Linked DNA regions of Mus musculus. The protein of the gene in region 1 interacts with the protein of each later gene in a pairwise test. Links are inferred from orthologs where the notes say so. Each region holds a gene or a part of one and is shown on either strand. Other genes may lie near its edges.

The links.
Region 2: the proteins of Grn (region 1) and Nufip2 interact in binary tests that used the Homo sapiens proteins (3 or more experiments, as listed by UniProt). The link is inferred for Mus musculus from reciprocal best matches to the Homo sapiens genes GRN and NUFIP2.

What each region holds. Positions count from the first base shown.
Region 1 is NC_000077.6:102,429,055-102,433,572, forward strand, and holds the start of Grn (progranulin precursor), read left to right. Parts: upstream 1-1,452; 5' UTR 1,453-1,486; intron 1,487-3,910; 5' UTR 3,911-3,917; coding exon 3,918-4,055; intron 4,056-4,170; coding exon 4,171-4,296; intron 4,297-4,431; coding exon 4,432-4,516; intron 4,517-4,518. UniProt on the Homo sapiens protein: Secreted protein that acts as a key regulator of lysosomal function and as a growth factor involved in inflammation, wound healing and cell proliferation. Regulates protein trafficking to lysosomes, and also the activity of lysosomal enzymes.
Region 2 is NC_000077.6:77,684,885-77,689,203, reverse strand, and holds the start of Nufip2 (nuclear fragile X mental retardation-interacting protein 2), read right to left. Parts: upstream 3,066-4,319; 5' UTR 2,977-3,065; coding exon 2,697-2,976; intron 2,649-2,696; exon of another isoform or gene 1,393-2,648; intron 918-1,392; exon of another isoform or gene 873-917; intron 1-872. UniProt on the Homo sapiens protein: Binds RNA.

The DNA.
Region 1 (4,518 bases):
GCTCCCCATTTTATTTCCCCTTGAGGCAGTGCTGCGTCTAGGATGTAGCTCAGTTGGTAGCACTTGTAGCTCAGCATGCTCAAGGCCCTAGGTCTAATCCCAGCAGCACAGAAACTAAACACGGCAATCTGCACTTGCAATCGTGGCGCTTGGGAGATGGGGGCAGAAAACTGAGAAGTTCTGTGTCAGCTATCTATCAAGCTGAAGCTCGTCTGGAACACAGGAAACCCTGACTCAGAGGGTGAGCTGCAATGTTGCTGAGTCTGGTTTCCAACTCCTGGGGTTCAGCAGCACCCCTTCCTCAGCCTCCGCAGATGGCTGTGTCTCACTAGAAGCATAAGCAATGGTCTGTTCTGGGGACACCTGTATGAATGTCATGGAACACCTATGCTAACACCATCAGGATGCAGAATGATGCACCAGTCTTACACACTTTCTGGGACTCCAGTGTAAGAAGCCCTCACGGAATTCCACAACCCTGCATGCACTCCTCTCTATGTAAGACTCCCACTGTCCTGAACTGTATGGCTGACCCCCATGGTCTCTATTCACCCACCATAACAATTCCTCGAAGGTGGGGACAGCTGAAACAAGGAAACCCCTTCCATCTCGACAGCCACCAGCCTACTCCACAGGCAGTGCCACACACTTGGCTAATGCCCTTATCTTGAACGTGGCTTTCAACCCTTGCTAGAGGCTGTCTGTAAAGAACAAGATATAAACTACCCAAGGAAAGGATTCACTGTCTTTCCCAATCTAGTTTCAAGTTCCTCTGTCCCACCTTATCAGCCTCTTAAAATTCTTTCAGCTTCAATTTAATGCAGTGCTATCAATATGGATTTAAATCTCTTCTTCCCCCCAGTTTGAGCCAATCTCCTGCCTCCTCCCTACACACATCTACAGTGCCCGGTACTCGCCCTTGAACCTTTATTAGATTTAGTCTAAGCCACTCTCCCCATTCAAACCTGGGGACTATTTATCTTCACCCTCACAACCATCTTCCAACTGGTTTCGAGTCCTTGTCTGCCAGGCGTGAAGAGACAGGAATGTACAAAAGTCCCGATCCAGAAGCAGACACCCTCCAGTAAACGACCTTGAACGCGTGCCCTCAGGGCAGCTCTCCTAACTGTGGGTGCCCTTAGGCATGAGGTGTCTCATCTCTGCAACACTCTGCCGCCAGAACCCAAACCAGCAAGCTCTGCCCTGGGGGAGGCGGGCTATGTTGTCATATGATTCTCTAATCACATGATCCCTAGAAATGGGGTGTGGGGAGAAAGAGGAAAGGGAGGAGGAATGTGAACTGAGTAGAAAAGAAACACAGCATTCCAGGAGAGTCCCGCCTCTACGTAGACAAGTAACCAATGGAAGCCCTGGATCTCCGAGCAATGGCTAATGGAAATTGAGGTGGGCGGGCCATCGTGCGGCCAAGCCCTAGTCCTGGAGCTGACCGCCAGATGCCTCCCAGGGAGCCCGGACCCCGACGCAGGTAGGAGGACCCTCTGCAGACAATCTCCCCGGCTACTGTCCAGAGGTCCAGAGGCCTGACCAGGCTGCCTGTGCAATTGAGGGTCCTCTGGAGTCTCAGCTCAGAGACAAGAGAAGACCTGCCTCTTGAAACTCCCCTAGGGGTTTCTGATGCACTAACGAGGTTGTTTTTTTCTTTTCTTTTTTGGAGGGGTGGGGGCAGTTGTTGTAGAGACACCTCCCCGCACCCCCTCCCCCCCAATAAGAGGCTTCTCTTGCCCAGCATGTCGGAAAGCTGCAGGCCTTTCTCCAGGACAGGAACCACCCCACTCTTGGGCCAGCTCCTCTCTTGTCCGTACTTCCCACCTCTGTCTCCAGGTCCGGCTCTTTCTCTTTCGGACGCTGCAAGTGTTCTCTGCGGCGGCGTGCATTGGGTGGGGATCTCCGGCCCTTGGCCCCCAGAGCTCAAAGGGGTTGCGAGCAGGACCAGGGCGTGATGGCTGAGTCCCTGGGTTGTGTCAGCTTTATTTCCTTTCTTGGGGGGCGAGAGAGCTAATTTCCGCCTCTCCCCGCCACTTTTCCCCCGCTGCCTCTCATCTGGATTGGCTCACCTTTTAGGAAATTCATTTCCCCTCGACACTCAGAGTTGGGGGGTGCCACCTAGTGGAAGATGTCGGAGCTAGGGCTTTGAAAGGCTCCAGTTCTCCCTAGCTGTGTAGTGTAGAGGTGGCCAGGGGCTCACCACTCCCTAGCCCCGTTGAGAGGAACTGGGTCTTCCCTACCCCTTCCTGGTTAGGAGATGGCCTCTGGGATGTTCTTTGAATTAGGTGAAAGGGCACTTGAAAAGACCTAGAGAAGGAAAGAGAAAGATGGCAGATCCTTCTATGTAGCCCAGGCTGGCCTGGGATTCACCTTATAGCCCAAGTTGGCCTGGCACTTGCAACCCTCCTACCTCAGCCTCCCAAATGCTGGGATCAAAAGCATGCCTGCCATGTGTGGGTGGCATTTCCTGTCTTTCATAGCCACCAGTGTCCAGGCAGAGAAGAATTGAGACACAGGGAGCAATTTCTGACATAGAGTGTCACTTCCAGGACTAAAACCCAAGTCTCTGTACCTACTTTTTAAATATTTTATTATTATTATTATTATTATTATTATTATTTTTTTTTTTTTTTTTTTTTTTTGGTTTTTCGAGACAGGGTTTCTCTGTGTAGCCCTGGCTGTCCTGGAACTCACTCTGTAGACCAGGCTGGCCTCAAAACCAGAAATCTGTCTGCCTCTGTCTCCCAAGTGCTGGGATTAAAGGTGTGCACCACCACCGCCCGGCTCCCACCCTGTTTCTATCCTGCTTGGGTCACCTGCCAGAAAAATGCTCTGTCCTGTCCTGTTTGGACCTCTGGCCTCTGGGATTCAGGGTCCTTCTCTGACAATATTCAGGGAGACCAGTTGGCATATGAACCCAGTCCCATATCCCGTCTTTTTTCCCTGACTTGATCCTTAGGCATGGATTTGAAAAGTGAAAGTAATATTATAATTACTGTTTTGCATAGTTGTTGCAGAGAAATACAGTAAGGAGAGGGAGAAAGACTCCCTAGAGGGTCTTTGAATATTGTTGGGTCATTCTGGGTTGCTGGGTAGGCCAGCTGGGCTGGGGAAAGGCTTATTAGGGAAGTGAGAGGCTCGGTTCCTCCTGCTGAGGCAGTGAGGCACTGTGCTGGGTCTTCCCACTTGCAGCTGAGTTTCGGTTTCTGAGGGGGGAGAGACGGAGGCGGTCCGTTTGAGGTGCCCTGGTGATGTCGGGAAGGGCTCACCATGAAGTTAGCTTTAAGGCTGATCCAGTCTCTGTGTCCCCTTCCCTTGGGTGGGGTGGGGGGACAGTTGTGGGTAGGCGGTGGCTGGCCCATAGGGAAGCCAGACCAGACCCCACTGACCACTGCACTTCTGTTTTTACAACTTTCTCCACTGCTCGGTTTCCCATATGATCATGTGACTGATGACTGTCCCTCTCCATCCCCCAAGGCTTTTGAAAGCTACAGGTGGCAGTTCAGTGCCGGCAGTGGGGCTGGCCATCCTCCTGTGTCTGCTGAGGTCTCCTCTGCCTCCCAGTTAGCCCACAGTCCCATAGATAAAGCCACAAAAGCCACATGCCTTCCTGACTGCCATACCCCGTGCCCCCCCCCCCCACTTACCCAGAGTCTCAGCCGTATGTGAGGCCATGAATCCACACGTGTTCATGCCCACAGTGTGTGCCAGCTGACGCATGTGCGCTTGCTGCACACTGGTAGGACGCTGACACAAGCGACACATCTGCTTGCTTTCCTGTTGGCTTGTTGAGAAGACTCAATGAAGCCAGGGCCTTGGTCAGAGCACAGGGGAGTGCGTGGCCTCAGAGTAGAAGGTGGCACAGAGTTTAAGGTGGCTGCCAAACTTTGCTTGGCATTTGTAGGCAGACCATGTGGGTCCTGATGAGCTGGCTGGCCTTCGCGGCAGGGCTGGTAGCCGGAACACAGTGTCCAGATGGGCAGTTCTGCCCTGTTGCCTGCTGCCTTGACCAGGGAGGAGCCAACTACAGCTGCTGTAACCCTCTTCTGGTGAGTGCCTCCTGCCCCAGTTGGCACCCCGGGCCTTTTGAAGGGCTGGCTACCTTGGATTGACCAGAGCAAGGCTGGCACAGACCCTTTGGTTGATGTCATCTCTTCTTTCCAGGACACATGGCCTAGAATAACGAGCCATCATCTAGATGGCTCCTGCCAGACCCATGGCCACTGTCCTGCTGGCTATTCTTGTCTTCTCACTGTGTCTGGGACTTCCAGCTGCTGCCCGTTCTCTAAGGTGACAGTGCCATTGGCTTGGGGAGTTGGGGTGTGTGTGTGTGTGTGTGCTTAAAATCTGTGTTTACCTCTTTCCTTCACTCTAATAGTCCCAAGCAAAAGCGTCTTGCTCACACAGACCTCTCTGTGTCCATAGGGTGTGTCTTGTGGTGATGGCTACCACTGCTGCCCCCAGGGCTTCCACTGTAGTGCAGATGGGAAATCCTGCTTCCAGATGTCAGGT
Region 2 (4,319 bases), about 25 Mb from region 1:
TCCAGGACAGCCAGGGCTATACAGAAGCCCTGTCTCTGAAAATTAAGAAAACAAACAAACAAACAAACAAAAATTCACTTAACTACATATTTGTCTCCCTATGGCCTTGACATGCACTAAGTATGATAAGTACCTTTTAAAGCTTAGATATTTAAGAAAAATGTGAAGATGGTAGTTATTACAGAAAGCAATTAAAGAATCCCTGTGTCTTTATTATTTAGGGTGCCATGAGAACTCCACTTCAAATGGACTCAGCAAAACTTGAGTCCCAAATAAATCTAGCTTTTAGATTTGACACTGCAATTACTCAACATGTTTTGTCTCCTGTGCCCTCTTCTGGATCCAGAAAACCAGTTTCTCATAGCTTTGGAAGTAATGGTTCATAAAAACTTGTTAAGTATTTCCCTAGCATTTTCTAGATTTTTTAGCACAGTACCCAACGACCAAACCACATACGGGAAAGCCGCTGAGCCCAACTGTTAATAACCTCTAAATTTCCTAAACCCAGTTCCCTCCTCATTCTTCATCCCAGGTTAAGACACATTGTGAGGAGGGCCACCTTCAATGAATGGTTCAGGGTCTGCCTTTCTATGCAGTGAGGAGCCCTGTGGGGAATACATAAACCTCATAAAAGACAAATTCTGAATCTGTGAACAATACCACTGGGCAACCTTGATACTTTCTCACCTCATGAAAAGCAAAACTAATACAGTTACATAATTCCTAAGTTTCTAGGCTGCTGTAAATCCTTACAATTAAACACTTCTGCTCTATCATCAGTCCCTACTACCCTACAAAAGAAAATCTGATATCCACTCAGCTCTGCCTTCAAAGTTATATTGTCTACAGTAAGTTTTTCACCAGTAACTTACTTGTATTACTTGAAAGACTAAGTTTAACACTTCTTTCTTCATTCCCTTTTCAGTTAAAAACAAAACAAAACAAAACAAAACGTGTGAATATATAAACTTTGATGCTTATTTTAAGTAGCTCAAGGCTCCACATTTAATGTTAAATAATACTCAGTTAGGGGATGGAAGTCGGTTTTAAAATGCACCAAAACGCCTCTTAACCACCAAAAAGGTCTTGTCCAAGGTAAAGGGCTGGTGACAACCACATGGACAAGTCACTTCCAGTTCATAGTTAAAGAAACAGGAAAGCCAAAACTGCCCGTGTTGTCCCACCCATTAGAGCATCGGATTAATCCCTCCCACAAAGTCACTACCCAGCTCAGAAGTTTAGGTGTTCGGTGGAAAACGAATGGAACAAAGTTTGAGAGGTTGTTCCCCAACCCCCCCCCATTTTTTTTTTTTTTTTTTGGGTAGGAAATGCGCTGCTATAAAGAAAAAAGGCCTAAGTGAAAAAGCCTCCGAGGCGGAGTCGTGAGCGAACCTGGCAGGAGATGAGATTCCTGTGGCAGAGAAACTCGTGACCCGGGAGCTTGGTTCCCGCTGGGTACCCCACCCGGCCTCAGGCACCGCCTCTCCCCAAAACGAATCCCCCTCGCCCCTCGCAGGCCAGCGGAACGCTACGGCCACGGCCGCCGCCCGGGCCTCCTTCCCCCTTCAAGCTCCTCTTCAAGGCCCGCTCCCCGCCCGCGCCTCCCGCCGCACCCGGGAGCGGGAAACGCGGCCGTCGGGCGCGCGGGGCCACGGTGCAGGCCGCTCCCCTCGTGGCCGCTTCCCTCCCCCACCCCAACCGCCCCCGCCCCTCACCCCAGGGACCCGCCCGGGGCCGCGCGGCCGCCACCGGGTTACACAACCCCGGCGCGGCGCGGCGCGGAGGGGGAGGGGCGGCGGGCGGCGGCCGCCCGCAGTGCGGGGGGGACCCGGAAAAGGGCCGCAGAGGGTCCCGGGGCAGCCGGGCCGGCGTGCCGTGTGGCCTTCGGCACCCTTCCCCCTCCGCTCCTCCGCCGGCCGGAGTCGGTGACAGGAATCAGCTTCCAACATGGCGGACAGGAAGCGGCCCCGCGAGGAGGAGAGAACATTCCAGCCTCGCCGGCTCCGAGGCGAGCGGGCCAGGGGCGCCGGCCTGCGGAGAAGCCCTCGCGGACAGACAACGGGGTCCGGACGCGCAAGACGGGCGTTTAGGGGTGGAAATGACCCGAGGGACGATAGGGTCCCCCACACACCCAGACGGCAAACCCCAAGGCCACAGGTGGGCTCGGGGCGGCGGGTGAGCGAGGACGCTTCCTCAACTTAGCCCTCAGCCCCGCTCGTCGCCGCCTGCAAGCGGCTCTCGCGACACCACCCGCATCAGGATGGATTCACTAGGCCTGAATTACATACACCTCGGGGGAATTTTTTATTTTATTTTTTTAGGGCGGCTGAGTTTCACCCCCTTCTTAGGGGCCCCCACATTCAGGCAACTCCAGGGCCCGCACTAGAGGGGAAAAAGAAGATGAAGGCTGGACTTCCAAGGCCGAGGGCACAGCTCTGCCTCCGGCCGGCCGGGGCGGGGACCGAGGAAGGTCACGCCGGCCTGGCTGGGCCTCTCCCATGCTAAAGGGAAGGAGAGGGCGCTGCAATCCCCACCTCGCGGCCCGGCCCGCGCCCGGGAAGAATGGAAGGGGGCATCCCCGGCCCGGCGGGACGCACACCCGGACCGGGTCCGCGCTTTTCCCATCTAGCCCCACCCCCATCGCTTCCCCCCCCTCCAATCCAGTCCCCCTTCCCCCACCGCCCTCCCTCTCAGACCTGTTTTCTTCTTCGGCGTTTCCTGGTGCTGCTGGAGGGTGTGTTTCTGCTCATGTTTCAGCGGCTTGGGCTGGGCCTTGGGGCTGCCCTCGGCTCCATGCTGCAGGTATTGGTGAGGCTGCTGGTGATGGTGGTGGTGGTGGTGGTTGTGGCTGTGGTTGTAGAAATAATAATGGTGGTGGTGGTGCGACTGCTGCTGCTGCTGCTGCTGGGGATGATGGTGCGGATGGTGGTGGCTGTGATGGTGCTGAGGCTGTGGCTGGCCGGGCTTCTCCTCCATTGAAAGCGGCTGGGACTCCCTGGCTGAGGCTGCGGGCTGCTGCACCGTCAGGATCTGAGACTGCTTCTCCGCGCTCGCTCGGTATATCTGAGCGCGTCTCGCCAGCGCACTGGTTAAGCGAGAGGATCTGCGAGATTGGCAGCCGTGCTCCAGCAATGAGGAGCCACGCTGCGCGTCAAGCCCCGCCCCTAGCTCAAATCCTCTTCCCTTCCCCTTCGCCACCGCCGCCTGGCCAACGCCACTTACCCTATGCAACCTCACAGGGCCGGGCCTTCAACGTCAGCATTATGGCTCTCTCTTCTATCGCTTTCTCTCCTTCACCACGCAGTTAGCGAACAGCACTTTCTACACTCCTCACACCGAGCAAGCTGATGTCGAGTGTAGCAGATTCCACTGACGATTCTACTGGCGCTAGGAGCCATCTGTTGGTTTTGCACCTCCTAGAATGTGTTGGGTTGTGAGTGTGTGTGTGTGTGTGTGTGTGTGTGTGTGTTTAATTCTTTTCCGGGTAGCCAGAGAGGAAAGCTCAATTTCCTTAACCCTTAAACCACGAAGGGGGCAATTCAAAAAAGAGGAAATAAATACATTTTTAAGAATACAAGAGCTTCACAACTCGATAGATCGTTTTCGTATTCTGGATTCATTTTGCTTTGTATTCATATGCTAATCTCTTCCTTTCCACGGAGGGATTATAGGGTTCCACAATAGGGTATCTGTGTAATTTTCTAAAAGGGGACAAAGGGCTTAAATCATTGTTTCTTTGTAGTTGAAAGCAAGAGAGAGGGAGGAATGAAAAAAATCTACACTGAAGTTTTTTGGGTGTTTTTGTTGTTTTTTTAATCAAACACTGCAGGTGAGGTCAACTATGGAACCAAAATAGATTTTAGACTAAGACTTTCAAAAGTGAAATAAAGGAGAAAGGAACCCTTTAAAAGTTCTTAAGGTTTGGGTTTTTAAAACATTTTTGTATTAAATTTAAGGAAAACATTGAAATGTAAAGGTGTATTTGCAATTTATGCTGTTAATTTAACCTGTTATGATAGGAAGAAGGTTGTGATAAGCACAGACACGGGGTACCCTCGAAATATATATTTGGGGGACTTGGCTAGGAGTTTTGTTTGTTTTGGACTGGTTTGTTTTTGAAACAGACTATGTAAACCTGATTGGCTTGGAACTACCTAAGTAGAAGTGTCTGGCCAACTAAGAGATTCCCCCTGTTTCTGCCTCATGAATGCTGGGATTAAAGTCCTACACACACCAGCATACCCCAGCCAATGTGCTATTGCTATTACATGAATAATTGCTTTAAAATTCATTAAATTAGATATACATTTGTCTATGTA